7 linked regions of the Macaca fascicularis genome follow. The protein of the gene in region 1 interacts with the protein of each later gene in a pairwise test. Links are inferred from orthologs where the notes say so. Each region holds a gene or a part of one and is shown on either strand. Other genes may lie near its edges.

What was found.
Region 2: the proteins of MEOX2 (region 1) and HAT1 interact in binary tests that used the Homo sapiens proteins (3 or more experiments, as listed by UniProt). The two-hybrid records come from large-scale screens. The link is inferred for Macaca fascicularis from reciprocal best matches to the Homo sapiens genes MEOX2 and HAT1.
Region 3: the proteins of MEOX2 (region 1) and SMAD3 interact in binary tests that used the Homo sapiens proteins (3 or more experiments, as listed by UniProt). The two-hybrid records come from large-scale screens. The link is inferred for Macaca fascicularis from reciprocal best matches to the Homo sapiens genes MEOX2 and SMAD3.
Region 4: the proteins of MEOX2 (region 1) and PRKAB2 interact in binary tests that used the Homo sapiens proteins (3 or more experiments, as listed by UniProt). The link is inferred for Macaca fascicularis from reciprocal best matches to the Homo sapiens genes MEOX2 and PRKAB2.
Region 5: the proteins of MEOX2 (region 1) and OIT3 interact in binary tests that used the Homo sapiens proteins (3 or more experiments, as listed by UniProt). The two-hybrid records come from large-scale screens. The link is inferred for Macaca fascicularis from reciprocal best matches to the Homo sapiens genes MEOX2 and OIT3.
Region 6: the proteins of MEOX2 (region 1) and KDM8 interact in a two-hybrid assay, tested with the Homo sapiens proteins (2 studies listed by BioGRID). The two-hybrid records come from large-scale screens. The link is inferred for Macaca fascicularis from reciprocal best matches to the Homo sapiens genes MEOX2 and KDM8.
Region 7: the proteins of MEOX2 (region 1) and TRIM42 interact in binary tests that used the Homo sapiens proteins (3 or more experiments, as listed by UniProt). The two-hybrid records come from large-scale screens. The link is inferred for Macaca fascicularis from reciprocal best matches to the Homo sapiens genes MEOX2 and TRIM42.

Annotation. Positions count from the first base shown.
Region 1 is NC_088377.1:114,566,473-114,569,972, forward strand, and holds part of MEOX2 (homeobox protein MOX-2), read left to right. Parts: intron 1-412; coding exon 413-585; intron 586-3,500. UniProt on the Homo sapiens protein: Mesodermal transcription factor that plays a key role in somitogenesis and somitogenesis and limb muscle differentiation. Required during limb development for normal appendicular muscle formation and for the normal regulation of myogenic genes.
Region 2 is NC_088386.1:67,464,675-67,468,961, forward strand, and holds the start of HAT1 (histone acetyltransferase type B catalytic subunit), read left to right. Parts: upstream 1-1,487; 5' UTR 1,488-1,566; coding exon 1,567-1,573; intron 1,574-4,287. UniProt on the Homo sapiens protein: Histone acetyltransferase that plays a role in different biological processes including cell cycle progression, glucose metabolism, histone production or DNA damage repair. Coordinates histone production and acetylation via H4 promoter binding.
Region 3 is NC_088381.1:43,874,575-43,878,074, forward strand, and holds part of SMAD3 (mothers against decapentaplegic homolog 3), read left to right. Parts: coding exon 1-53; intron 54-219; coding exon 220-351; intron 352-1,085; exon of another isoform or gene 1,086-1,154; intron 1,155-1,430; exon of another isoform or gene 1,431-1,609; intron 1,610-1,696; coding exon 1,697-1,771; intron 1,772-3,228; coding exon 3,229-3,408; intron 3,409-3,500. UniProt on the Homo sapiens protein: Receptor-regulated SMAD (R-SMAD) that is an intracellular signal transducer and transcriptional modulator activated by TGF-beta (transforming growth factor) and activin type 1 receptor kinases.
Region 4 is NC_088375.1:113,073,662-113,077,161, forward strand, and holds part of PRKAB2 (5'-AMP-activated protein kinase subunit beta-2), read left to right. Parts: intron 1-1,473; coding exon 1,474-1,607; intron 1,608-2,255; coding exon 2,256-2,324; intron 2,325-3,222; coding exon of another isoform or gene 3,223-3,285; exon of another isoform or gene 3,286-3,300; intron 3,301-3,500. UniProt on the Homo sapiens protein: Non-catalytic subunit of AMP-activated protein kinase (AMPK), an energy sensor protein kinase that plays a key role in regulating cellular energy metabolism.
Region 5 is NC_088383.1:73,470,731-73,474,230, reverse strand, and holds part of OIT3 (oncoprotein-induced transcript 3 protein), read left to right. Parts: intron 1-127; coding exon 128-235; intron 236-3,500.
Region 6 is NC_088394.1:26,301,814-26,305,308, forward strand, and holds the end of KDM8 (bifunctional peptidase and arginyl-hydroxylase JMJD5), read left to right. Parts: exon of another isoform or gene 1-23; coding exon 24-188; 3' UTR 189-2,995; downstream 2,996-3,495. UniProt on the Homo sapiens protein: Bifunctional enzyme that acts both as an endopeptidase and 2-oxoglutarate-dependent monooxygenase.
Region 7 is NC_088376.1:43,537,831-43,541,330, forward strand, and holds part of TRIM42 (tripartite motif-containing protein 42), read left to right. Parts: intron 1-1,378; coding exon 1,379-2,076; intron 2,077-3,500.

The sequences.
Region 1 (3,500 bases):
TCATGTACTAGATGCCACTTTTTAAAGGATTACTATGTTCAATCTTACTTAGACCTCAAGTACGTATGCTCAACAACTTATGAAACAAAACTTCATATCTAAAATTGTTTTCTAGAGAGGTTTTGGTTTATCTTAAAATCATATTACAAGCAGTTAGAAGTTTTGTTAATATTTTATAAGAGGAAAATTACATGCTTTCCCAATTAGGTTGTGAGTTACCTGAAGGAAGATGAGAAAAATAAGAAACATATCTCCCCCTGTTGAGTTGCCATCAGTCTTACTGTCTTTGGTCTATATTTGTTCCATGTCTTGTGCGGAACCTGGAAAAGTAGTAACTCAATAATTGTGAATGATATGATTGCATGTGTTTGAATAAATGAGTTATTACCAATTCTTCCTCACTTTTTTTCAGACTCCCAGGAAGGAAATTACAAGTCAGAAGTCAACAGCAAACCCAGGAAAGAAAGGACAGCATTTACCAAAGAACAAATCAGAGAACTTGAAGCAGAATTTGCCCATCATAATTATCTCACCAGACTGAGGCGATACGAGATAGCAGTGAATCTGGATCTCACTGAAAGACAGGTAAAGCTGGACATTGTCATTATATGATCTTTTTTAATTGCTCTGGGTCCACAGTTTTCTTTGCCATATTTGAAATACCTAGATCCAGAATTCTTCAATACCATTTGGAAGACAGGTATACTATTCCATGATAAAATTTTGCCAGCAAAATGACAAAATTAAAAATAATATAATGATATTTAAAAGAAAACCATACTTACTGAGTTTAAGAAAGAATCCTCCTATGATTATGATCCTTCTGTATTTTTTGGTTTTAAAATATTATTTCTTTTACATAATGATGGCATACAGTGAGGAATTGTGTATGCTTATATGCTAAAATCTCCTTATTTGGCATATGAGAAAGTTGGTAACCCCAGATTAGTTTTCTGTATTGCTCAGGATAGGGTATGTTACCCTGCAGTAACACGTTCACCCGTAAACCTCAATGGCGTAACACAAAAATATTCATTACTTACTCACTCTCCATACAAACTCTACATGTCCAGCATTCCAGATAATCGCTCACAGACCCATTCTGACTCTTTAACATCTCAACATGTGGTGTCCGTGGTAACTACAAGAAATAAGAAAGAATTGGAAGTTTATGCACTGACCTTTAAATGTTTTCACCTGGAAATTACCCATGTCACTTCTATTTACACACTGATGTCTAGAAGAGTCAAATGGTGCAGCTTAGGTGCAAGATGGCTGGGAAATGATGAAAGGCAAGGTCACATAGATCATTGGTAAATATTTCTGCCCCATTACCCAACATATTTTTGAAATTGAATGGCTCTCAGATATTGAAAAATCTGCTATCCACTTAGAGAATATTTTGAAATTATTAATGTTTTTGGACTCTAATTAATGAGACCTAAATAATATTTTTAAATTAATTGCTTTTCAGGTCCCTTTCTTGCATTTTTTTAAATGACAAATGATTTGTTCTAATAGTCTTCCCAGTGAACTCCTTGTACAGATTCTGGTTTCCCCAAGGAGAATCTAGCCTACTGCCGGTTAACAGTTGCTAATCTTTACAAAAACATTCCTGAAAGGCGAATGCAAACATCTTTATGGACAGTGCAGTTATGATTGGCACTCTTAGGGCTAGAGTCTCATTTCCTCTTTCACTGTGTGTACCTCCTCCAGGATCCCATTGGAACCAAAGAAATATCAACAGGGTGTGGACAAATGAATGCATGTCTTACTAGAGCAAATTATTTTATCCAATTTCTTAAATAATCTGCTTTCCTTCTGTTAATTTTTACATTTCAGCTTTGGTAGGTTATTTATGGGTAGTAGAAATATGCAGAGGAACACTTTTCTCTGGTTTTATTTATTGGCAGTTTATATTTTATTACATATTATGACTAGTACCTATGTTATGGAGCGCAGCATTTTCCTTCCCTTGGACTTCACATACAAAATTCCCTCTATGTATTCAACATTTGGCATGCTGGAAAGCAGGATCCAAAATCTACATCATCAGACCTTTATTTTATTATTATTTTTTTAAAACAGGGAACAGGAAAATAAAAAGGTGTATGTGGAGGGAGAATTACACAGTAATGTTCTTATATAGAGATGGTGAACTCTAGGAAATGCAAGCGTGTTTTATACAATACATGAAGGAACTAGGAACCTAGGATTTGCTTCCAATATGTAGAAATGACAGGATGCACTACTGTGCTCTCAGCCAAGATGAAAAACAAGATTCTGTACTTGCCAGTTCGGGGATGTTCTAGGGTTATCTGTCATTGACCATGGAGCAGAATCATTTATTTTTAGAAGCAGTTTTGGAAATCTGGTTTGAAAATGTTGAAGGTGTCTTGGATATTTCTTCTTTCTAACTGACTTGACAAGCTTGGTAAAGAATTACATGCAAGAATTACATATAGATATACATACTATTTCAATGTTTTTTGAAAGATTCTTTTAAAATTTTGTGTTAGCTACCCTTTGCCGTGTAACAAACAACTCCAAATCTTAGTGGCTTCAAATAATAACTAAAGTTTTATTTGCTTTAGATTTTGTAGAGATTTTGACTGGGCTTAGTTGGACAGTAATACTGCTGGCCCTACATGGAATCCTCATGGAGCTCCAGTCAGCTGGTGGGTTGACTAAGAAAGAGATGGTTGGGCCTCAGCTGGGACAGCTAGTCTCTGTTGCTTGTGGCTTCATCTTCTTATAGGCTAGCTTGGGATCCTTCCAATGGTGATAGAAGCATTCCCAGGAGCACTGAGGGGAAAAACTCTAGTAAGCAAGGGCTTTTCAGGCTTCTTACGTCATATTTTCTAATGTCCCAATGTCCAAAGCAAGCCACATGACCAAACTCAGTGTCAGTATAGGACAGAACACTTCATTGGAAGTCATTCCTGAAATAATCTAACCACAGCATCACGAGGGGAAAATAACAAAGAATATGAGAGATAATTCGGTTTTCACTGAATTGAAAATTTGTTACTGTGCACAATATATTTTTATTTAATAAATCTCTATGTATAGTTTTGCAAGTTAATGTGAAAAGATGTATGCATGCAGAATTTAAATTCCTAATCAACACTAAGTCTTTAGAAGGCCACATGGGTTAGTCAAAAAGAGTGTAATTGTTTTGAAAAAAGTCTGAATAAAAATCCAAGGTTTGCCGATTAGAATTGTGTGTTCTTAAGTAAGTAACAATCTCCCCAAGGCACAAAATGGAAATTAAAACTACCTGCTCTTTCTTCTATGTAGATTTGTATATCATAATGGATATGAAATAATTTTTAGCATAAACTATAAAACAGAATTATCACCCAGGTGGGAAAAACCTTTGCTATGCAAAGTATGTTGAATTAATCCTTTTGTAACACAAATATTTGTTGAGCTAAGTGCTGGAAATAAAATCTTCTTAAAATAAGCTAAAGAAATACCTGTTAGAATTCGCAGAAGAG
Region 2 (4,287 bases), on another chromosome or scaffold:
CCGAGATTGTGCCATTGCACTCCAGCCTGGGCAACAAGAGCGAAATTCCGTCTCAAAGAAAAAAGAAAAAGTAAAAAAGAAAGAAAGAAAAAGGATCTGGGCATTCTCAGTACCTTTTCTGATCTTTATCTTCGGGAAAGCCATCTCTCTATCGTTCAGCAAATAAATACTGGGCTGAGTATCTGATGAACTGCACTCTGCATAGGTTGCATTCTGAGAGAGAACTTGGGCAGTTTATCTTTTCTGGGATTTGGTTTCCTTATCTCTAAAATGAGAAGGCGTGTTACTTCTAGACCATCATCCCAAGGGTCCATTTTAGCTTTAGCATGCATCAGTGTAAAACCTGTTAACAAATATTTGTTGAGAGAAGGAATTCTGGTGTATAGCCAACATTGTGGGAATATTTGTGGATACCTAAACAGTGCTTTATCCTCTGGGCAAAACAGTTCCAACAGCTACTAAATACTAACAAGGCCTACGGCTAAAATCAGGTAGCACCTTGTGATGTAATTCAAACCACTAGAACATGTGGCATGCAAGACTACATCAGGCCACTTAGGTATTTATTAGTTAACAATTTATTTATTTATTTATTTATTTTTGAGACGGAGTCTCACTGTCTCCCAGGCTGGAGTGTAGTGGCGCAATTTCGGCTCACTGCAACTTCTGCCTCCAGGGTTCGAGCGATTCTCCTGCCTCAGCCTCCCGTGTAGCTGGGATTACAGGCGCCCGCCACCATGCTTGGCTAATTTTTGTATTTTTAGTAGAGACGGGGTTTCACTATGTTGGCTACGCTGGTCTCGAACTCCTGACCTCAGGCAATCTACCTGCCTCGGCCTCCCAAAGTGTTGGGATTACAAGCGTGAGCCATCGCGCCTGGCCTAGGTAACGATTTTTCCGCGTTTAAATGATTGCCTACTGACCTGAAGAGTGAAAGCGGAGTACCTAAATATCATACTGTATACGTTAAAAACAGGGGAGAAAGGAAAAAAGATGTTAAAGTTTACAGCAAAATGAGAAACAAAGGAGGAAAATAAGTGAAAACTTCTTCCGAAACTGAGACTCAACCTCTACATTTTACCCTAGGTAAAATCTTACCTAGGGTAAAATTGCCCACAGGTCTCAAGTGTTTGGATGCACTGTCCAGGCCAAGAGGAAAGATTTTCAGCCAGTCTCCAAAACATCTCAGGGACGGGTAAGGAAAACAGGCGTAAACTGTCTGTATTGATCAAATCAACCCCAGAGAAACTTTCCTAGGGCCGGAGAGCATCTCAACCGCGAAGGTTCATTTGCGGCCTCCTTCTCCACTTCAGGCCTGCAAAGCGGCCGACAGCATTCGCACTGGCTAGGCAAATCGCACAGCTAACGGCCCGTGCAGACTTCTCCGCGTTAGCCCCGCCTCCTGAGGCGCTTCCGCCGCCGGGCTCCTGGACACGCCTCCTTTAATTGGCTAACGTCACGCTGGGAGTGGGCGGAGACAATGTGTCAGACTGTGCGGTCACTTCCGGCCCGGGAGCGCGCGGGTTGATTCGTCCTTCCTCAGCCGGGGGTGCTCGTAGCTCGGAAATGGCGGGTAAGTTCCCGGGAAAAGTTTACCAAGGGGAGGAGGCGGCCAGATCTGGGATAGAACGCTGAGACGGTGGTGACAATGCCCGCCTGGAACTTTCGGGCTGTAGCCTGGGTTCCAGAAGGCCTGCTTGGGACCGGAAGCGCGGAACTCTCAGCCCAGCAGCTCCCTGTTGGCCGCGGTCCGCGCCCCCGCCCCCAGCTGCTTGGGGTTCTGCGCCTTTTGCGAGCACCCCGGCCCCTACCGAGGGCCGAAGAGGCCGGGGGAAAGCGTCAAGATTTGAGCTTGTAAAATGCCACATGCCTTGGGGCCTGTTTCTCTTCCCATTCCTTTTGTCCACTGCTGCTTGCTTCAGATCTTGTACATCTGGTCCTGTTCCCGCCAGCTGATTTTAATGCTCAGATCTCCTCCTCTTCCAGGTCTCCGTCTACCTTCCAATACAGTCAACTTCTGAGCTAGCGCATTGCTGACTTGCCCTGCTCTAGCGCTCCCACTTGGATCTCGACTGACTTCATAATCGTCTCCTTAATCTCTCACACTTTAGTATTCCGAGGATCGTATTTAGATGCCTTTTGAGAAAGACTTTGTTCCTCAACTCCTCCCTTCTCTTTTAGGGTTGGACTACTATAATACAATTCTCTTGAGTACATTCTAGCGTCCCTTCAACTTACAACATTTAATAATGTATAATTGCTATTACTTTGTACGTGTATTAAGGCTGTTTTGGTGTGATTATTTTTTTCGATTACTTATCTTTTGAAGTTATGGACAGTTTCTTTTTCCTGAGACAGGGTCTCTCTCTCTGTCGCCCAGTCTGGAGTGCAACAATCATAGTTCCCGGCAGCCTCCAACTCCTTCTACGCTCAAGCTATCCTCTTGCCTCAGCCTCCCGAGTAGCTAGGACTACAGGCATGCACCACAACATTCGGCTAAAAAAAACACTTTTTAAAAACCTTTTAGAGAGGGGGTCTGGCTGTATTGCGTCAGGCTGGTCTGGAACTCTTGGCCTCAAGCCATCCTCTCGCCTCTGCTTCTCACAGTGTTAGAATTACAGGATTGGGCCACTTCGCTGGCCTCTGTTGCTTTTATCATCTCTTTACAGGGCATTCCTCGTAGTCTCCATTTTTATGGATATGTGGGATAGATGAGCTGTTGTGTGAGCTCTAGAGATGTTCAAAGAAGGACTTTTCTACCAGATAGAAATTGTAGGATCTTGAAGTACAACAGAAGAGGGAGGACATACGTTAAGAATTACATCTAAATTCGAATTTGGGGCCCATCATTTAGTAGTTGGATGCCCTTCAACTCAACCTCTTTCTAAGCCTGAACTTCTGAATATAAAGTGGAGTTGATATAATACCTACTTACAGAATTGTGCGGATTAAGCTAATATATGATTTCGCAGGTTAAATTTTGTTGCTTACATTCCTCAAAGTAAATTCTGTAATCTTAGTTCTGTAGATTAGGGTCAGCGGGATTAAGTAATGTACTCTAGTTCACTGAGCTCACTAGCTCAGTAAGTGTGTGAAATAGTCAGAATCCAGAAATTCTGACTCCAAACTGTTAATCTATACTGCTTCAAGTCTCCCATTTTCTGTGTGTGTGTTTTAACCCCTTATTGAAGTTCATAGCACATCTAGCACATCATTGTACCCATTTTTACTTTTTGCTTATGGCTTTTTTCTGCCTGAAATTTTACTAATTTTTTTTTTTTTCGGAGACTCTGAGTCTTGCTCTGTCACCAGACTGGAGTACAGTGGTGCGATCTCCTCAACCTTTGCCTTCCAGATTCAAGCAATTCTTCTGCCTCAGCCTCTGGAGTAGCTGGGACTACAGGCGCGCACCACCACGTCCAGCTAATTTTTGTATTTTTAGTGGAGATGGGGTTTCACCATGTTGGCAAGGATGATCTCCATCTCGACCTCGTGATCCCCCTGCCTTGGCCTCCCAAAGTGCTGAAATTACAGGCGTGAGCCACCGCGCCCGGCCCATTTTTACTAATCTTTATATTCATTTTGTCAGGAGATTTGTTACCTTGAAAGTTTCTTTTGATAGTGATATCTTCTAGTGTTATTTATTATATATATTATTGAGTAACCACTTTGTAGTAAAACTACTTTATTGTGCCAGTAGCTCACAGTTTATGACTTTAGGCACACATGATTTTTAAATATTTAATACAGTGGAAAGATGTTTTCTTTGTGCCCCTGTTCCTCTTCCTTCTTTCTTACCTAGGGTAACTGTGGTTACCAGATATTTGTGTATTCTTCTTGAGACATTCCATGCATTATCATTTCCTTATCTGAAGCACTCTGGTAGACTTTTTCCAATACTTAAAATGAAATTCTGTCATAATTATCAGAGGACATTCTCATTTTGCTTTTTACATCTTATAATGAAAAAGACGACTTAGGTATAAATCTTAGCAGATTATTTGTATTAGTAAATGTTCAGAAATGTTAGTAATCTATCATGTTAATTTTCAGGTTTATTCATTTATATTAAGTATGCCTAGTTTATAAACTTGTATCTCAAAAGTGATTTCTTTTTCTGTTTTGTAATGAGGCACCTTTTTTTTTTTTTTTGAGACGGAATCTTGCTCTGTCGCCCAGGCTAGAGGGCAGTGGCGTGATCTCAGCTCACTGCAGCCTCTGCCTCCCGGGTTCAAGAGATTCTTCTGCCTCAGCCTCCCAAGTAGCTGGGATTACAGGCACCTGCCA
Region 3 (3,500 bases), on another chromosome or scaffold:
GAAGGACGAGGTCTGCGTGAATCCCTACCACTACCAGAGAGTAGAGACACCAGGTATGCTACCTGGCCCGCCTGTGGGGACAGCAGGTGCTGGGGTCGTCACCTCTCCCCCGACCCCCCCACCCCCCCCGAGGGTCTGTGGTGCACTTGGGGGTGCGGGGACTTTGGTGCTGGTCTGGCATCGACACTGAGCCACCTCTGCTCTGTCTCCCCCGGACAGTTCTACCTCCTGTGTTGGTGCCACGCCACACAGAGATCCCGGCCGAGTTCCCCCCACTGGACGACTACAGCCATTCCATCCCCGAAAACACTAACTTCCCCGCGGGCATCGAGCCCCAGAGCAATATTCCAGGTAGGCACGTGGGCGGCATAGGCTGACCTGGGAGGCAGGGGCAACGGTCAGACATCAGTCCTGTGGCCCCAGTCTCTGCCCCCTGGCCGTCCCCCGTTCATCCCCTCTCTCTGCACAGCTCTGGCCTGAGGGCCCCTGACTCAGAACCACATCCCTGTTGGGAGAGGACCCATGACCTCAGCTCCCCCCTTACTAGTGATGCTTTTTTTGGCATAGAGGAGCAGCGTGACCCTTCCGCCCGGCCTTGGTGCAGTCATTTATTTTGGAAGCGGAAATAGCAACACTGTTTCTCTCACCGCCCATGAGGCCGGGACTGGCGTTCAGTCCCCAGTGGACCGGGGGTCTGCAGAGGCGGGGAGTGAGCTGAGGGCCAGGCAGCAAGTGCGGAGAGCTGGTTCTGTAAATTCGCCTGGGCATCGGGCCTCGGTGAGGGGCCCCAACCTGGGTGGGAATTGAAGGAACTTTGAGTTTTCACTCTGCAGGGAGAAATGGGCTTTGCTGTCAAAGACTGCAAATGTTTTTAGAAGCCCCTCATTTACATGCAAATAATGTGTGAATCACCAGCACTTTCCGACTCCAGGAAAGCTGTGCTTGGCAGCACTTGGGTAGTCACTTTTGCTTGCTGGGGCAGTAATCCTGCTGCGTTCCTCTTAGAGCATGCTAATTTGGACGTGACGTTCATCCTGGGTTAGTTTACTGAGCTGAGGTTGGCTACAGACCTGTGTGCTTGGGTCAGAGTGTTAAGGAGAGACCCACTGTCCAACCTTCTCAGATCCTTTGCGGGTAGCCCTGGCGTCCCAGGGGTAAGTCAACTACTCTGTGTTCAAATAGCAAACTTTGGAGGGCTTCAGTCAGGGTCTGGGGGAGGTTTCAGAGAAGTAGATCGCACTGTGTTTGCGACCATTGAATTTGTAACCTAACTGCTGAGTGAGGACACATCCCCTAGAGACGGTAGAGGGTGGGTCTGAGCCTGCAGGTCTTCAGAGGACAAAGAGGGGTGAGGCAGAGGCAAGTCCAGACGCCTCCCTGGAGGGGGTGGGGCTTAACCCTCACCTTGAAAGACCAGGAGAAGTTAGCCTGGTGGAGGCTCTAGGAGTATACACTTCAGACGTGGGAGTTGGTCCGGTTGTGCGTGAGCAAAGGCAGTTACGATCCAAGTGGGAGTCAGAGGTGGACAGGGGCGAGGACAACAGAACCAAGAGCTGGAACCTCTACTCCGAGACCTGGAACTCCTGCAGCCAGGGACACTAGCATCATGGTGTGCATGTGTGATGTGTTTGCAAAAGGTGTCTCAGAGCCCAGCTGTGAAGGCCTTTTAACGGACCTCCTTCCTTCTCATTCCCAGAGACCCCACCCCCTGGCTACCTGAGTGAAGATGGAGAAACCAGTGACCACCAGATGAACCACAGCATGGACGCAGGTCAGTCATGCAGGCATATGCTCTTATTCTTAACTGATTAGCAGCCGGTGGGTTCAGCCCTTCCATCCCTTCCTGTTCGCCCCCTTCCTCCCTCTCTCCTCTCTCTCTCCAGTATTTGTAGAGCAACCATGATGTGCAAGGGGCAGGGCATAGGAGAGGGTCCGAGCTGCCCACGGATGATGGGGGAGATTGACAGGACAGCCAGCAGTCACTGGGCCATCTCGTGTGTGCCCTCATGGAAGATGCCGCATGGCACCAGGCACACAGCAGGGCCACTTCATCTGGTCTGGGGAGGAACAGCACCTTGCAGTCCAGGTTTTTCCCCACGTTGAGTCTTGGTGATGTGTAGGTGTTAGCCTAGCCAAGCTGTCAGAGTGGGCAAGGGGTGTGCCAGGCAGAGTCATGGGAATTGGGCAATTCTGGGTGCATTCTGAGCCTGGTGCATTCTGGGGACAGTAAGAGCTCGGTGTGTCTGGAGTCCGGAGAGTGTCCAGCCCAGGGAGCTCAGCATGACTGGAGGATACACTCTCTCCAGTGGGGAGAATGATGGGAGGGCCTACCACACAGGGCTCCGGGTGTGATGGACCTTCAAGCTGGCAAGACCACTTGGCATTGAGTCAGGGCTGATGGGAACCACTGCAGGCTGTAAGCAGGGCCTGGGCCTTAGTGAGATGTCACCGGCAGCAGGGTGGAGAGTGGCCTCGATCACCTCAAGAAGTCAGGTGGGAGGCAAGAAAAGACTGAATGGAACTAATGCCTCTTCTGATGACCAGTGGAGACCCCTGAAGCCAGTATTTTTGTGTGACAACCACATGTGATATGTGTGCTCCTGCCGTGAGGGGCAGGCTTTAGTTCTCGCCTGCTACATCTCCAGATGTTTTCCATATCATTTGTTATAGGACCAAATTGGCTCCAGACCAGCAGCTTCTTGAATTGAACCCCAGCTGCCACATAGAATGTGTACTGAGTTGTGTGTGGTTGGGAGAGGGGGAGAAGGGGAGAGGGAGCCACGCAGATGTTCCATTCTGATGGTGGTGGGCATGCCTCATACGCACAGAGCCGCTAGACACAGCGGAGCCACCTGCCCTCGCACACAGCCCAGAAGAGATTGTGCGGTTCCTTCCCCCACCCGCCCCAGACGGAGTCTCCCTCTGTTGCCCAGGCTGGAGTGCAATGGCGTGATCTCAGCTCACTGCAACCTCTGCCTCCTGGGTTCAAGCTATTATCGCGCCTCAGTCTTCTGGGTAGCTGGGATTACAGGCAATGCAGCACCACGCCCAGCTCAGTTTTGTATTTTTAGTAGAGACAGGGTTTCACCATGTTGGCCAGGCTGGTCTCAAACTCCTGACCTCAGGTGATCCGCCCGCCTCAGCCTCCCAAAGTGTGGGATTACACCGCATCCAGCTGAGGTTGTGCAATTCCTGAGAGAACGAAAGAGATTCGCATGTCCGTTGTAGTTGCTGAAATCCAGCCTGGACATCGTGGCACTTTTGGGTTGAGCACACCCGGTGGAACACACCCGCCCGGCGGAGTGGCTAGCAGCGCGAACCAGCTGGAATGCATCGAAGACCTTCCTGTATCCGATGCCAAGAGACGGCTGCAAGCTTGCAGCTCTTCAGTGCAGGCACGGGAAGCAGGCCAGTGGAGCAACATGTCTCCAGCTGCTGTGTGTCTCCCCACTCTGCGCTCCCTCTTCCCCCTCTGCTGCTCTCCGTATTTGCGCAGTGAT
Region 4 (3,500 bases), on another chromosome or scaffold:
AGGCTGAGGTAGGAGGATTGTTTGAGCCCAGGAGGTCAAGGCTGTAGTGAGCCGTGATCAAGCCATTGCACTCCAGCCTAGGTGACAGGGCAAGACCCTGTCTCAAAAAAGAAACAATAACATTTAAATAAAAGATATTATCATAATATATTTCTCTTCATTTTAGTATATTTCATTCTATTCTTGTCTGCATACTTTTTTCATTTTTTTTGGAGATGTAATTTATACATCATAAAATTAACTCTTAAATTGTACAACTCAGTAATTTTTAGTATACTCAGAGTTGTGTGATTATCACAATTATCTAATTCCAGAGTATTTTTATCACCTGCAGAATAAACCCTGTACCCATGAGCAGTCACATCCCATTCCCTCCTCCCCTCCGCCTCTGGCAACCACAAATCTTGCTGTCTTAAGGATTTGCCTCTTCTGGACATTTCATATCAGTAGAATCCTACAAATTGTGGTCTTTTGTGACTTGCTTCTTAGCATCATGTTTTCAGGATTCATCCATCTTGTAACCATGTATCAGTACTTTGCTCCTTTTTATGGCTGAATAAGAGCCCATTGTATGGACATACTGTTTGTTTATCTTTTCATTAGTTGATAGACATCTTGATTGTTTCCACTTTTTGGCTATTATAAATAATGCTATTATGAGCATACAAGTTTTTGTGTAGACATATGTTTTCATTTCTTTTGGGTATATACCCAGTGTATAATTGCTGGGTCATGTAGTAACTTTATGTTTAACTGTCTGAGGAACTGCCAAACTGTTTTCCAAAGTGGCGGGACTACTTTACATTCCCTCTAGCAGTGGGAATAGTGTGAGCATTCCAATTTCTTCATTCCTTTGTTGACACTTGTTGCTGTCTATCTGTTTGATTTTAGCTGTCCTAGTGAGTATGAAATGGTAGCTTATTATGGTTTTGATTTGCATTTCCCTAATGACAGTTACATACATTTTGTCCTTATTGTTGTAATCATTATTGTATTGGTAGTGTTAGGGGTTTATAAACTTGTTGTTTGGCTGGAAAAAAAAATCTAATCTTTTCCCATTGTTTGAAAGTTACAAGACATCTTCACATCCATTATCTAATTTGATTTCCTCAAAAACATCATGAAATAGGGCAAAGATTATTTTTATTTTATGAAGAAACTGACCATTATGGAGGGATTCTTCCAAGGTCCTACAACTGATAAATGTAATAGCTCTTCCTTGAGCCTGGGTCTTTGAGTCTTTATCTCTTTGTCTCCCAAATCATGTTGCCATGTTGAGGAGCTTCATGGTTTATGTCCAGGGGACTCGGATTTTTTCTCTGGTTACCTTACAGCTGTAGATCCCACAGGTCACAAGTTTGTGATCCAGGACTTCTACTATATTTAATGTTAGCTGCCATGTATTGATAACTTTTTCCATGCATTCTTGCTAATTCTCCAACTCTTTCTCATATTTGTATAAATATCTTTCAGACCTTTCCAGCTCACCCCCAGGGCCTTATGGTCAAGAAATGTATGTGTTTCGATCTGAGGAAAGATTCAAATCCCCACCCATCCTTCCTCCTCATCTACTTCAAGTTATTCTTAACAAAGACACTAATATTTCTGTGAGTATCCTCAGTATTACTGGGGCATCTGGGAGTGTCTAGGACCATTTGGACCAAAGTTCAGTGATCCTGGAGGTTAGGATGATTACAGAGGTGTGTTGAGATTACAAGTCATACACATATCAGTAACATTACAGATTGCCTTTTTCCAGTGCTGAGTCACAGCTGCTTCAGCCATTCATATAAAAAATCGTAGTTGTCTCCTCATCGTAATAAAATCAGGATCAGAGCTATGGACTTCTGTTTGAGCACAGCATGAAGTAGTAGTTATCATTTGGGGATGTACGAAAGAATTATAAAAGTTTTTTTGTATATAATTTATGTCTGTATTCAATCTACTTGATTCCTACTATGATTATTTTTACCTTGTAACACAACTCTTCCTTGTGTGTTGTGGGCAAGATTTTTGTTCTAACTCTCTTAAGGAAGATTAGTAGATGCTGAGGCGTAAGATTTCTGCCCTGGACTGATAATTTTTCTAATTTTCTGTAATAGGATTTTATTATTGATACATACTGGAGTGGGTACATTATTGAAAAGAGAGAGCGCATTCTAGTTTAAATTTCTCAAAGAGCTCTGAGGAAGAGTAAGCTGTTTGGTTTGTCTGTGCCTTAATTTCATTTAGTAATTTTTTTCTCTCTCTCTTAGTGTGACCCAGCCTTACTCCCTGAGCCCAACCATGTTATGCTGAACCATCTCTATGCATTGTCCATTAAGGTGAGTGGTGGCCCTGGCTCTTCACAGAGCTCCCTGGAATGAGAGGTCAAGGGTAACATATGTTCTCAGTGGTTACTTTCTCTGCTATTTCATTGAAGCTGAAACTGGCAGTAATGATCAAATTATAGAAGAACTCTCTTTTTTTAACTAATAGGTTGTTTGTTTTAAAATCTCAGTCTCTGTGTTCTGGCTGGCTGAATTGCCCTCTGATAGGACTTTTTTGCTGCCCAGTTGTTTTTTGGGTGGCTAGAATCTTTCCACCAGCTATTTACTTAAGTTTCAGTTCATAGCATAGGATTTATTCTGCAGAAAAAGCAGGTTTAGCTTCCAGTTCAAATTTAGCTTCCAGTTCAAAGAATGCTTTAATGTGATATTAAGGCTTTCACTTTTTTGAAGGTGGAATTGAGCTACTTTCAGGTGCCTCATTCATATATACTCAGGTGCTTGCATCTCTCCTATACACGAGTTAAAGGAGAGATGTGACCAGATTTGCCCGTCTCTTCAACTCCAGAGTCCTCCTTGGTTTTTCTGCTGCTTTAGAGTCTGGGTTGAAAATAGCCATTCTGTTCTGTCTTGTTGTGTCTTTGTGGTTTGGCTATTGGAATAAAGTTATATAGCTCTGTGATTATCAAACCAGGCTGATTATCATCAGAGTCTTCTGGGGGAGATTGTAAAAATACAGATTCAGCAGCTCCATTCCTAGAGATTCTGAATAAGTGCATCTAGGATGGGCCCTATAGTTTTTTTAAGCTGCTTTTACTTGGCTATATAGCTGGATTCGGGAAATCACTGATACAGCTAACAAATTATGTGGTACAATATAACACTTAAAAATATATTATTGAATTTAATTTTTATAATAACCTTGTAAGTATTATTTTTAAACCCTGTTTTATAGATAAAGAAACTAAGGCTCAGAGAAGGTCAAATTGCCAGTAAGTACCAGAGACAGGACTGCTGAGGTCCAATCCGCCTATGCTAACTTCATATTCTTTCCTATATTATCATTATGCCAGGTCTTTCCAAGTAGGTTTTTCTCACCTATTCCTCATTTCCACAAAACCTGTGGAAGTGTAAAAGTGAATTTTTTACCTGCCTTCTGTCGTATTTAGGCTTTGTGTCAACTCTGGAGTGTTAACGCGAGAAGCATTCATGGTAGATAATACAGTATGGGGG
Region 5 (3,500 bases), on another chromosome or scaffold:
GGTTTGAGGCCAGCCTGGGCAACATAGGGAGACCACCCCTCCTGCCCCACCGCACCATCTCTAAAATGAATGAAAGCGTGTCCTCTGGTCTCCTCCTCTCATGAAGATAATCTTTATTCTTCCGTAGATTTTTATGACATCTGCGACGAGGACTGCCATGGCAGCTGCTCAGATACCAGCGAGTGCACATGCGCTCCAGGAACTGTGCTAGGCCCTGACAGGCAGACATGCTTTGGTAAGAAACTCATCAAAGGTAGAATCAGGCTATTAGGATTGAAAGGACAAATCAAAAACTCTTCCTGCCTCAGAGCGCCATCATTTTCCCAGTTTGTGTCTCCAAACACTTGGAATGGCGTTTCCTTTTTAGTTTATACCTGGACTGAAAGCCCCACACCAAATTTGTATCACGGTTAGGGACAGTGGAGAATTGTGCCCTCCACTAGAGTAGCCACAGGTGGCCATGGCTCACTTGAAATGTGGCTAGTATGACGGAAAAACTGAATTTTAATTTAATTTTATTTTAATTTTAAAACCAATGTTTGGCCACGCACGGTGGCTCACGCCTGTAATCCTAGCGCTTTGGGAGGCTGAGGCTGGCAGATGGCTTGAGCCCAGGAGTTCAAGACCACCCTGGGCAACAAAGAAAAACCTCATCTCTACAAAAAATATGAAAATTATCTGGGTATGATGGCATGTATCCATAGTCCCAGCTCCTCAGGAGGCTGAGGTGGGAGGATCACTTGAACTTGGGAGTTCAAGGTTACAGTAAGCCATGACACCACTGCTCTCTAGCCTGGGTGACAGAGCGAGACTCTGTTTCTAATAATAATAATAATAATAATAATAATACTATCTTTAATATTGGTTATATATAAAAGTGAAAATATTTTGCATATAATTGGGTTATATAAAATATTCTTAAAATTAATTTCACCAGTTTCTTTTTTAAAAATTTTAATGTGACTACTAAAAAATTTTAAATATGTAATTTGCTTTATATTTCTATTGGACAGCACTGGTTTAGAATTATCTAAGGACTTACTCCTCTAGCTTCACTGATATAATTTTGGTCATTCTGAGTAGCAAGAAAGATGAGTCAGATTATCCATAGGAAATCCAGAGTTGTTGAATTGTATACTATGTTGTCTATAACTAGAAGAGAACAGAGATGAAAACCCCAAGATTGAATATCATCTCTCTTTCTCTGTAATGTTATGAAGGTTTTGGATTCAGACTCAAATAGATTTAAAACAAGTCTAGAGAGAAAGGGGAAGATTGCCCTACCTGGTCCCCCAAGAAGAACAGTAACAGGTCAGGATTGAGGCAGGAGATTAAGGTGAAAGGAGCATAAAAGGCTTATTGGTATTTGTTTGTTTGTTTTTGAGACAGGATCTTGATCTGTCACCCAGACTGGAGTGCAGTGGTGTGATCTCAGCTTATTGCAGCTTCGACATCCTGGGCCCAAGTGCTTCTTGTTTTAGAAAAGCTTTTGCTCTTCAGTCTCCTAAATGAGCCAGGGGCAATGGCTCATGCCTGTAATCCCAGTGCTTTGGGAGGAGGAAGCAAGAGGATTGCTTGAGACCAGGAGTTTAAGGCTAGCTTGGGCAACATAGTTAGACCCCATCTCTATAAAATAAAAAATAAATTAGCCAGGCATGGTGGCAGCCTTCCAAAGTAGCTGAAGTTTCAGCTGAGGCAGGTGGATTGCTTGAGCCCAGGAATTTAAGGCTGCTGTCAGCTCCAATTGCATCACTGCACTCCAGCCTGGGCAGAAGAGCAAGACCCTGTCTAAAAAAAAAAAAAAATCATAAATACATCAATAAATAAAACCTCCTAAATGAACCCCACTGACCATCCTGTGGAGCAGGTTTCAGCCCTGCCATAGGAGTTGTTAGGGGTCTGGTGTGGTTGATTCTGAGTATGTGATTTAATGCTAAATGGCTTGGGGTAGGGGCAATAGTGGTTCCTGAAATCTCTCCCTACCCTCATGTATTCCTGTTCAAAAATATTTGGCTTTATTTTAAACCAGGAGTTGTTTATGCATTTCTTTGCTTTTGTTTTAATACAACTCTTGAAGAGGTAATACATTTAAATGGTTCTCAAATTAAACAACATGAAAAAGTATACAGCAGGCTGTCAACTCTCAGTCACCCTCTTGCCCCATTTCCCTCTTCCTCAACTCCATCCCAAGGAAACGGCTGTATTATTTTCTTATATGTGCTTCCAGGGTTTCTACAGTCAGATTTTAAAATGCAAATATATATATGTGTATTAGCCTGTTCTCATGCTGCTAGTAAAGGCATACCCAAACCTAGATTTATAAAGGAAATTTACAAAGGAAAGAAGTGTAATTGACTCACAGTTCCACATTGCCGGGGAGGCCTCACAATCATGGCAGAAGATGAGGAGAAGCAAAGTCACATCTTACATGGCAGCAGGCAGGAGAGCATGCGTAGGGGAATTCCCATTTATAAAACCATTGGATCTCGTGAGACTTACTCACTACCAAGAGAACAGTGTGGGGGAAACTGCACCCATGATTCAATTGTCTCCACCTGGCCCCACCCTTGACACGTGGGGATTATTACAATTCAGGGTGAGATTTGGGTGCAGACAGCCAAATCATATCAATATGTTTACTTATTGGCCATTTTTAAACATCAAAGGTAGCGTATCGTTCACTTCTCTTCCTTAATTTATCTTAGACAATCTTTTTCTATCAAAGCCCCAAGTTCCTTTGAGGGATCTGTGGGACTTCAGGGAGGTGAATCCTCTGAAACTGTAGACAGTGTTTTGTGTTTGTGAGCATGTGTCAATTTTCCTTTAGTTTTTATTTAAAAGTAATAATTTTATTTATTTTAAATTACATAATTTGTTCAGGCAGCATACAAGAAAATAATATAACAGACCCTCATGTACCTAGATTTAACTAGAGTTAAGTTTTGCTTCCTTTTTTTCTTTTTTTTGAGATAGAGTTTCACTCTTTTGCCCAGGCTGGAGTGCAATGGCACCATCTCAACTCACTGCAACCTCCACCTCCTGGGTTCAAGTGATTCTCCTGCCTCAGCCTCCAGAGTAGCTAGGATTACAGGTGCCCACCACCACGCCCGGCTAAATTTTTTGTATTTTTAGTAGAGACAGGGTTTCACCATGTTGGCCAGGCTGGTCTTGAGCTCCTGACCTCAGGTGATCCACCCGCCTTGGCCTCCCAAAGTGCTGGGATTACAGGCGTGAGCCACCGTGCCCAGCCCTCTTTTTCTTTTAATTTAAATAAAATTTTGTAAATACAATAAAGCCATCCTACCCCATCCTGCTTTCTTCTCTCACCCTCCAGCGGTAATGACTGTTTTGAAGTTAGCATGTGTTCTTCTGGTCCCATTTTAATGCTTTTATTATTTATGTATATACCCATAACAGTAGATAGCATTGTTTTGTGTGTTCTTAGAATTAACATAAAAATGGTACCTTCCCCAATGTGTGAGATTTTCTCTAGCAGGTAC
Region 6 (3,495 bases), on another chromosome or scaffold:
ATGACGTCCTTTGCTTTCTTCAGGTCGACGTGGAGAATCCTGACCTCGAGAAGTTCCCCGAGTTTGCCAAGGCCCCATTCCTGTCCTGCATCCTGTCTCCTGGAGAGATCCTGTTCATACCCGTGAAACACTGGCATTACGTGCGGGCTCTGGATTTGAGCTTCTCGGTCAGCTTCTGGTGGTCGTAGCCAGGCTAGGAGCTGAAAGGGCCGGACATGCAGACAGCACTCATCTGTTCACTGTGCCTCACCTGGTGCTGGGTCCTGGAATCAATAGAGATAAGCGGGACTGAACCTGTGTCCTGAAGAGCCTTCACTGCCCAGTGGCAGCCCTGGGGGGGCTGAGCTTCAGCACTGGGCGGGCACAGAGCGGGGGCTGCCCAGGAAGGAGCACACTCCAGGCCGGGGGTGCATGACAGAGGAAGGTGGGGAGAGCCCAGGAGGACCCTGCAGGCAGACAGCCTGCTTGGGGACGCCGGCATCAGAAAGCCTAACGTGTTTGGGAAACGGATGGGTCACACGGGCAGGGGTGAAACGTGGGCTCTGAGGTTGGCTATTCGACCCAGACCCGGCCGCGCTGTGTACCTGCTGCGTGACTTGGCCAGGATCCCCCGCTTCGTTGTGCCCACGTGGAAAAGAGGGCAAGGCCAGTCCTCACTGCAGAGGGCCGAGGAGGCAGTGCCGAGCCCCTGCTGCTGCATGAACCTTAGCCGCTGCCACTGATCCCAATTACTCTGATCCTTCTGCCCTTCCTTCCCTTAACTGGGCCTGCTGGACGCCACAGCCTGAATACTGGAGAGAGCTGGGCATTGCCCAGGTCACAGGAGAGAGTCCATAGGGGCCTGCTCAGGAGCCCAGACCCCTGCTGGGCAGTGGGAGCTTTCTGTCATCCTCGTGGCTAAAGGATAACCTACCTGCTGCAGTGAAGTGCAAAGGTCTTGCTGGATGACTTTGCACCCGCACTCATCCAGGAGCAGGCTCCCAAGTGAAGAAACCACTGAACCATCACCAGCCCCTGGAAGCCTCCCTCTAGCCACCTTCTAGTCACCATCCCCCAGAAGTAATGACTCTCAAACCGGTGGAAGGTTTGAGGCCGGGGGGACACCCAGGCTCCGTGCTTTCTGTAATTGTGTCTTGTTTGTGTGCACGCAGGTTTGTTTTATGTTTTGGCCATTAACACTTTCCCCAGCCCTCTGTTTTTTGTTTTTTAAACTAAATAGAGATGGGATCTTGCTATGTTGCCCAGGCTGGTCTTGAACTCCTGGGCTTAAGCGATCCTCTCACCTTGGCCTACCAAAGTGCTGGGGTTACAGGTATGAGCCACCATGCCAGCCTTGGCTTCTTTCTTCCCCCCTTCCAAGACAGGCCTGGGGAAAAGAGCCCCGGGGGTTCAGCTGCCATCCTGCCAGCACCTTGACCACTGGCTCAGCTGCTTGGCTTTTAGCTAAAAATCAAGCCGCCTCTGGTTGGCCAGGGGGTAGCTACCCTGGGGTAACTAGAAGGGGGATGGGAAGGTGGCCACGGGCAGCTGGGACTCTAGTTCCTGATGCCCTCTGTACCCAGGCCAAGGAATTTGACCTTTATTGGGTAGGTCCTGGGGTTCTCGGCCTTTGAGCAGACACCAGCAGCATCTGCACTCTGGAAAGCTGGCTATTGGCAGGGAGAGGCCGTGGCACTTACTCATCCTGGGAGTGGCTGCTGAGGGGCCGTGGGTCTGCCAGGGACTGACACACACAACAGCTATCTGGAAGTGGAGTCCACTTGGCTCCGTGGGCAGCTGCTTGCAAGGACATTGTTTATTCCCTGCCATTGTTAATAGTCAATTACCTAATCTTTCATAGGAAGAATTTACACCAGATGTCAACACCCCTGAAAGTAGGGAGGCATAAAACAGGGACGCCCCATGACTAGGTTCACCATTAGTGAGGAGCGGTGGCTCCCGGCCCGCATGTGTAACTCACACCCCTTCCCCAGCGGAGGGACAGGCGGGTTGTGGCCTCAGCTCCCAGTGGCCCAGCCGCTCCATCCGCTCCAGCTGGCAGGCCCCATGGCCCATCTGTAGCGTAGTGTGACAGAAAGCTGGGCACGGGAGGCCACGTTCAGTAACGTATGGTATCCTGGCCAGGAGGCTTCCAGCAAATGTCCCTTGTCAGATGAGGAACGGGAAAAGGGGAAATGGCCCTGCCCTGTGGGTGAGGTTCCAGCGTTCCTACGAATCCCAGTCTGAGGGTGACTTCAGCCCTCTGAGGAAGGTGGACTCTGAAGCCAGCTTGGAACCCAAGCGCCGAACAGTTGGTCACAGACCAAGGAGAGGCACGTGCACGAGCCCCTGCCTGAGATGTGGCCACAGCAGTCAGGACACTGATACTGCCATCACAGACACAGGACACAGCTAGCAGGCCTGTCACTGACCAGATGAGGCCCCTGCCCTCATGGTATTTTAACATAATGGCGTCAGGCTGGGGTGCGGGGGGGGAAATAAGGACATGGGAATACAAGAAGACAGTGTCACGCCGTGATTAGTGCCATGAAAGCAACAGAGCAGGGTGACAGGGTGGAAAATGGCAGCCAGGGATGGACTGGTGGGGCCAGAGTTTTTTGATAGTTGACATTTGAAGAGCAAGAGCTTGACTAGGAATCCAGAATCGGCCATGAGACTTGAGGCCCAGCTCGTGACAGCAGGTACAGCAGCCCTGAGACAGGAAAGCCCCAGTCTGGGGACAGGGGAGGTAGGAGTCAGGGCGGCTGGGGCAGAGAGGGGGGATGGTAGGAAGGGGGATATCAAGGCCATGGGGCCTGGGGGACCAGCAGGGGAAGGCACTGGGGGGCTCAGCCTGGGAGGGACAGGTCTGCAGCCGCTGTGCAGACAAGGGCCTACAAGGGGACCCTGGGAAGCAGGCCAGTCCGTAATTCCTGAGTGATAAGGTCGGGGCACCGGCGGGGGAGCATGGCAGTGAAAGAGAAGGCTGGCGGGGTAATAAAGGCTTTGAATGCCAGGCCAGTGTCTGGAACTCACAAGGGTTTTGGGTGAGTGCCAGTGTGTTGTGGGATGTTCACATCAGTGTCATCATGGAGGTGTTGGAGGCAGGAGAGACGAGCAGCAGGGGGGCCGGTGTCCCCAATGGTGAAGTGCCCAGAGGCTTCCGGAGTCCCCAGCCAGGACTGACTCGAGCACAGAGAATGAACGCCCAGAACCACGGGACAACTGGGTCAGTCATGAGCTGCCCTGGCCCCTCCTGAAGGCGGTATTTGCTGGTTGGCTTTTTGCCTCCTGGCGTCCATCTTCCCTTCTTCCAGAACGGCACACTGATTGCACTCTGGAGAATGACCTCTGCCCCAGGGACGCGGTCCTGGAAGGTCTGTACAGTCCTCCCTGGACTGGCACCTTGAGGGCACGTCGGGAGGAGCGTAGACAGGCTGGAGCTGACCCCCTGTGGCAGCAGCACCCACTGTCACAGAATTGTCTTGACATCCATGACCCTTATTCCAAGGTCTG
Region 7 (3,500 bases), on another chromosome or scaffold:
TTGAATTTTACAAGTATGCTTTTACTCCATAGTTCTTACGATTAAATGTATGAAATCAGCCTCAGGCATTAGACAAATGGAGAGCTTTAACACACACAAATGAAACAGTAGAAGCACATACTTTTCACAGACTTGGCCACTATTTTCCTTTACTGTGATTTCTCTCTACTGCAGACATTAGCTGGCTAGTAGCAAAGGGATGTAATTACAGTGGCCACATTTACTGAATGCTTACTATGTACCAGCAGTTAAGCACTTACATGGATTATCTCATTTAGACTTTATAAAAACCTCACAAAGCAAGTAGTATGGTGAGGTTTGATTTATAGTTAAGAAAACTGAACATGAGAGAGGTTTAAAAAAACATCTCAGAAGGTACAACTGTAAAGTGGTGCATTTTTATCACACACGCTCTGCCTCTAAAGCCCAGATCCATTACCATTACCTATTGGTCTGGTTGGCAGACCACACAGGTTCTAGGCTTGGCTCAGGTACAGACTTGCTCTGTGTTCCATCTATGTACAATAAATAATGTCAATGTCCTCCAGGGGAAAAAAAAAAGCCCTAAGAACACACCTGTAGTTGGACAAGATTGTATTTATTGACTCATTGCAACAAGTGAGAATATAAAGCATGGGAAAGTGTAAAGTACCTTGAAAAGTTATTACAGGATTTGAGCTCATGTTAGGTGAGGACACGGGAGTAAATCTATTGAATATTTTAATAAATCTTATCTAGAAGGTGGGAAGAACAGAGTGACCCAAAAGCTGCTGGAAAAAAAAGAAAAAAGAAAAAAAAAAAAAAAAAACAGTTTTTTGGTTTAAAAAAATCAACCAGGATAGGGGGATGTTGGGTCATTTTCGTGATTTAGACAACGTTCGTGTCTGAGTCCAAACATTATAAAGTGGCCTTGTTTCTGCTTTGATCCAAAGTCACAGAGTAGCCTTGTCTGATACTGTGTTCTTTGATATTACCGATGTCCAACGGAACACCAAGGCCTAGCTGACGCCTGACCAGTCTCTGCGGCTTTTCCCTTGCTTAATAACAGCAAGCAGTTGCAGCACACTGACTGTGTACCATGGACTGCTCTTAGTCCGTACAAGCATTAAACTCAATTTTAATCTTCTCAAGAAACTCTGACATGGGTACTAATTTTATAACAAGGAAATAGGCCGAGAGGTTAACTGGCTTACCTGAGGTCACCCCGCTGAAAAATGGTGGAGACAGGTTGAGAACGCAGGCACCTTGGCACTCAGCTGAGGCTCCTCACCACCACCCTAGACTGCCCCTCAGAAACCAAGAGTTCTTTCAGAGGTAGAGAGGCAGAGCAAGCTCTTGAGCCTGCCTCCTGAAACCCTGCCTTTGCTTCTCCTTTCAGCTCCAAGACTGCCCTGCGCATTGGGAGCAGCGATACCCAGCTGGATGAAGTGAAATCAGTACCAGCCAAAAGCCACCTGGTGAACCACCTCAATTGCCCCATGTGCAGCCGGCTGCGCCTGCACTCATTCATGCTGCCCTGCAACCACAGCCTGTGTGAGAAGTGCCTGCGGCAGCTGCAGAAGCACGCCGAGGTCACCGAGAATTTCTTCATCCTCATCTGCCCAGTGTGCGACCGCTCGCACTGCATGCCCTACAGCCACAAGATGCAGCTGCCGGAGAACTACCTGCGCGGGCGCCTCACCAAGCGCTACATGCAGCAGCACGGCTACCTCAAGTGGCGCTTTGACCGTTCCTCCGGGCCCATCCTCTGCCAGGTCTGCCGCAATAGGCGCATAGCGTACAAGCGCTGCATCACCTGCCGCCTCAACCTGTGCAACGACTGCCTCAAGGCCTTCCACTCGGATGTGGCCATGCAAGACCACGTCTTTGTGGACACCAGCGCCGAGGAACAGGACGAGAAGATCTGCATCCACCATCCATCCAGCCGCATCATCGAGTACTGCCGCAATGACAACGAATTGCTCTGCACCTTCTGCAAGTTCTCTTTCCACAATGGCCACGACACCATCAGCCTCATCGACGCCTGCTCCGAGAGGGCCGCCTCACTCTTCAGCGCCATCGCCAAGTTCAAAGCAGGTCCTCCCCTTCTCCACTCCTTCAGCCTAACTTCTAGTTCAGGAACACATGGGGAAGATGGCGTGGGGCAATGTGCTAAGTGAGTGCCTTAACAGATTCCACCTAGTGGAGCAATCAAGGCACCAGGAAACACTGTGCTATCCTGCAAGTCACTATCCTGGTGTCCGCTCCTGGTAACCACTACCAGTCACTTAACTTCTCCGTGCCTTGCTTTTCTCACCTATGAAATAGGGGAATAGTAGTGACCCCCTCACTGGATTGCCATGAGGATTAAGTGAGTTACTCTATGTAAAGAATGCAAAAAGTCATATGACAAGTGCATAAAGATTCTATAATCTTGATTATAATCTGCATGTCCTCAGGTCTCATTTTCTCTTTTGGAAAATGAAGACTTTGATCCTATAGTATACTGACGTTCTGTGACGTTCTAAGGTGTTCTGTCACTGTTGGATCGCTTTGGTTTTCCTAAATGTGCAGGGGGAAAGAATTAAGTCAGTGCTGAGAATTATCTCAATGTTAAATTTCCCTCCATGAATTTTTTCCAAAACTTGCAGATGCCAAAGTAAATAAACGGGCAGCAAACATATAACAACAGGGACAATTCATAACTAGCCAATGGTATTCTAGTCAACAGCTTGTTTTTCCTCTGCATTCTTGTTCGTGGTGATTTGGTTGTTTTATATTGTTACATATAATATTGCTTTAAGTGAAATAATATTTCAGTGATGGTTTCAGTGATGGAACCAAGCATAATAATATTTCACAGGATTCAGCAAAGAGCCCATAATTTCTTGTTTCAGTGACAAAACCAAGTATAATCATATTTCACAGGATTCAACAAAGAGCCGCATAATTTCTGGGTATGTCTCTACCTGGTCAGACATTAGAATCCAAAAGATTCCTTTAGTGCCCTTTACCCTCAGGAATAGTTCCTTGTATAAAGGCCAACTTTACTCAGGCCTGTGGAGCACATTTTGTCTAATCTCAATAGTGCTACAGTACAGGCATTAAAATGTCCTCCATGGATAAGCCAACTGTGGTTCAAAAAAATAATTAGGACAGGCAGCTAATAAGTGGCAGATGCAGTCTATTTGACTCCAGTGTCCACCATTAATTCCACAACATTTATTTGACAATCTACTCTGTGCTAAGCAGCGACCAGAATCTGAAGATGAAGAGATTGAAGGGGAGGAAGGGGGAACCACCACCACCATCCATGGTCTGTTTCATTAAGGAGTGGCCTGCAGTCAGTTACCAAAGTGCACCAGATCAACCCAGGCCTTTCCCATTGTCAGATCTGTTAGTCTCCAACATTCAGATAGGCCTATACATTGGGAGGGAGGCAGCTTTTCCTTGAGCTGCACAGAAAGGTCCCACTGGATATAAAGGTGGGTCCAAAACAGGCTTTGCTAATGACCACATCA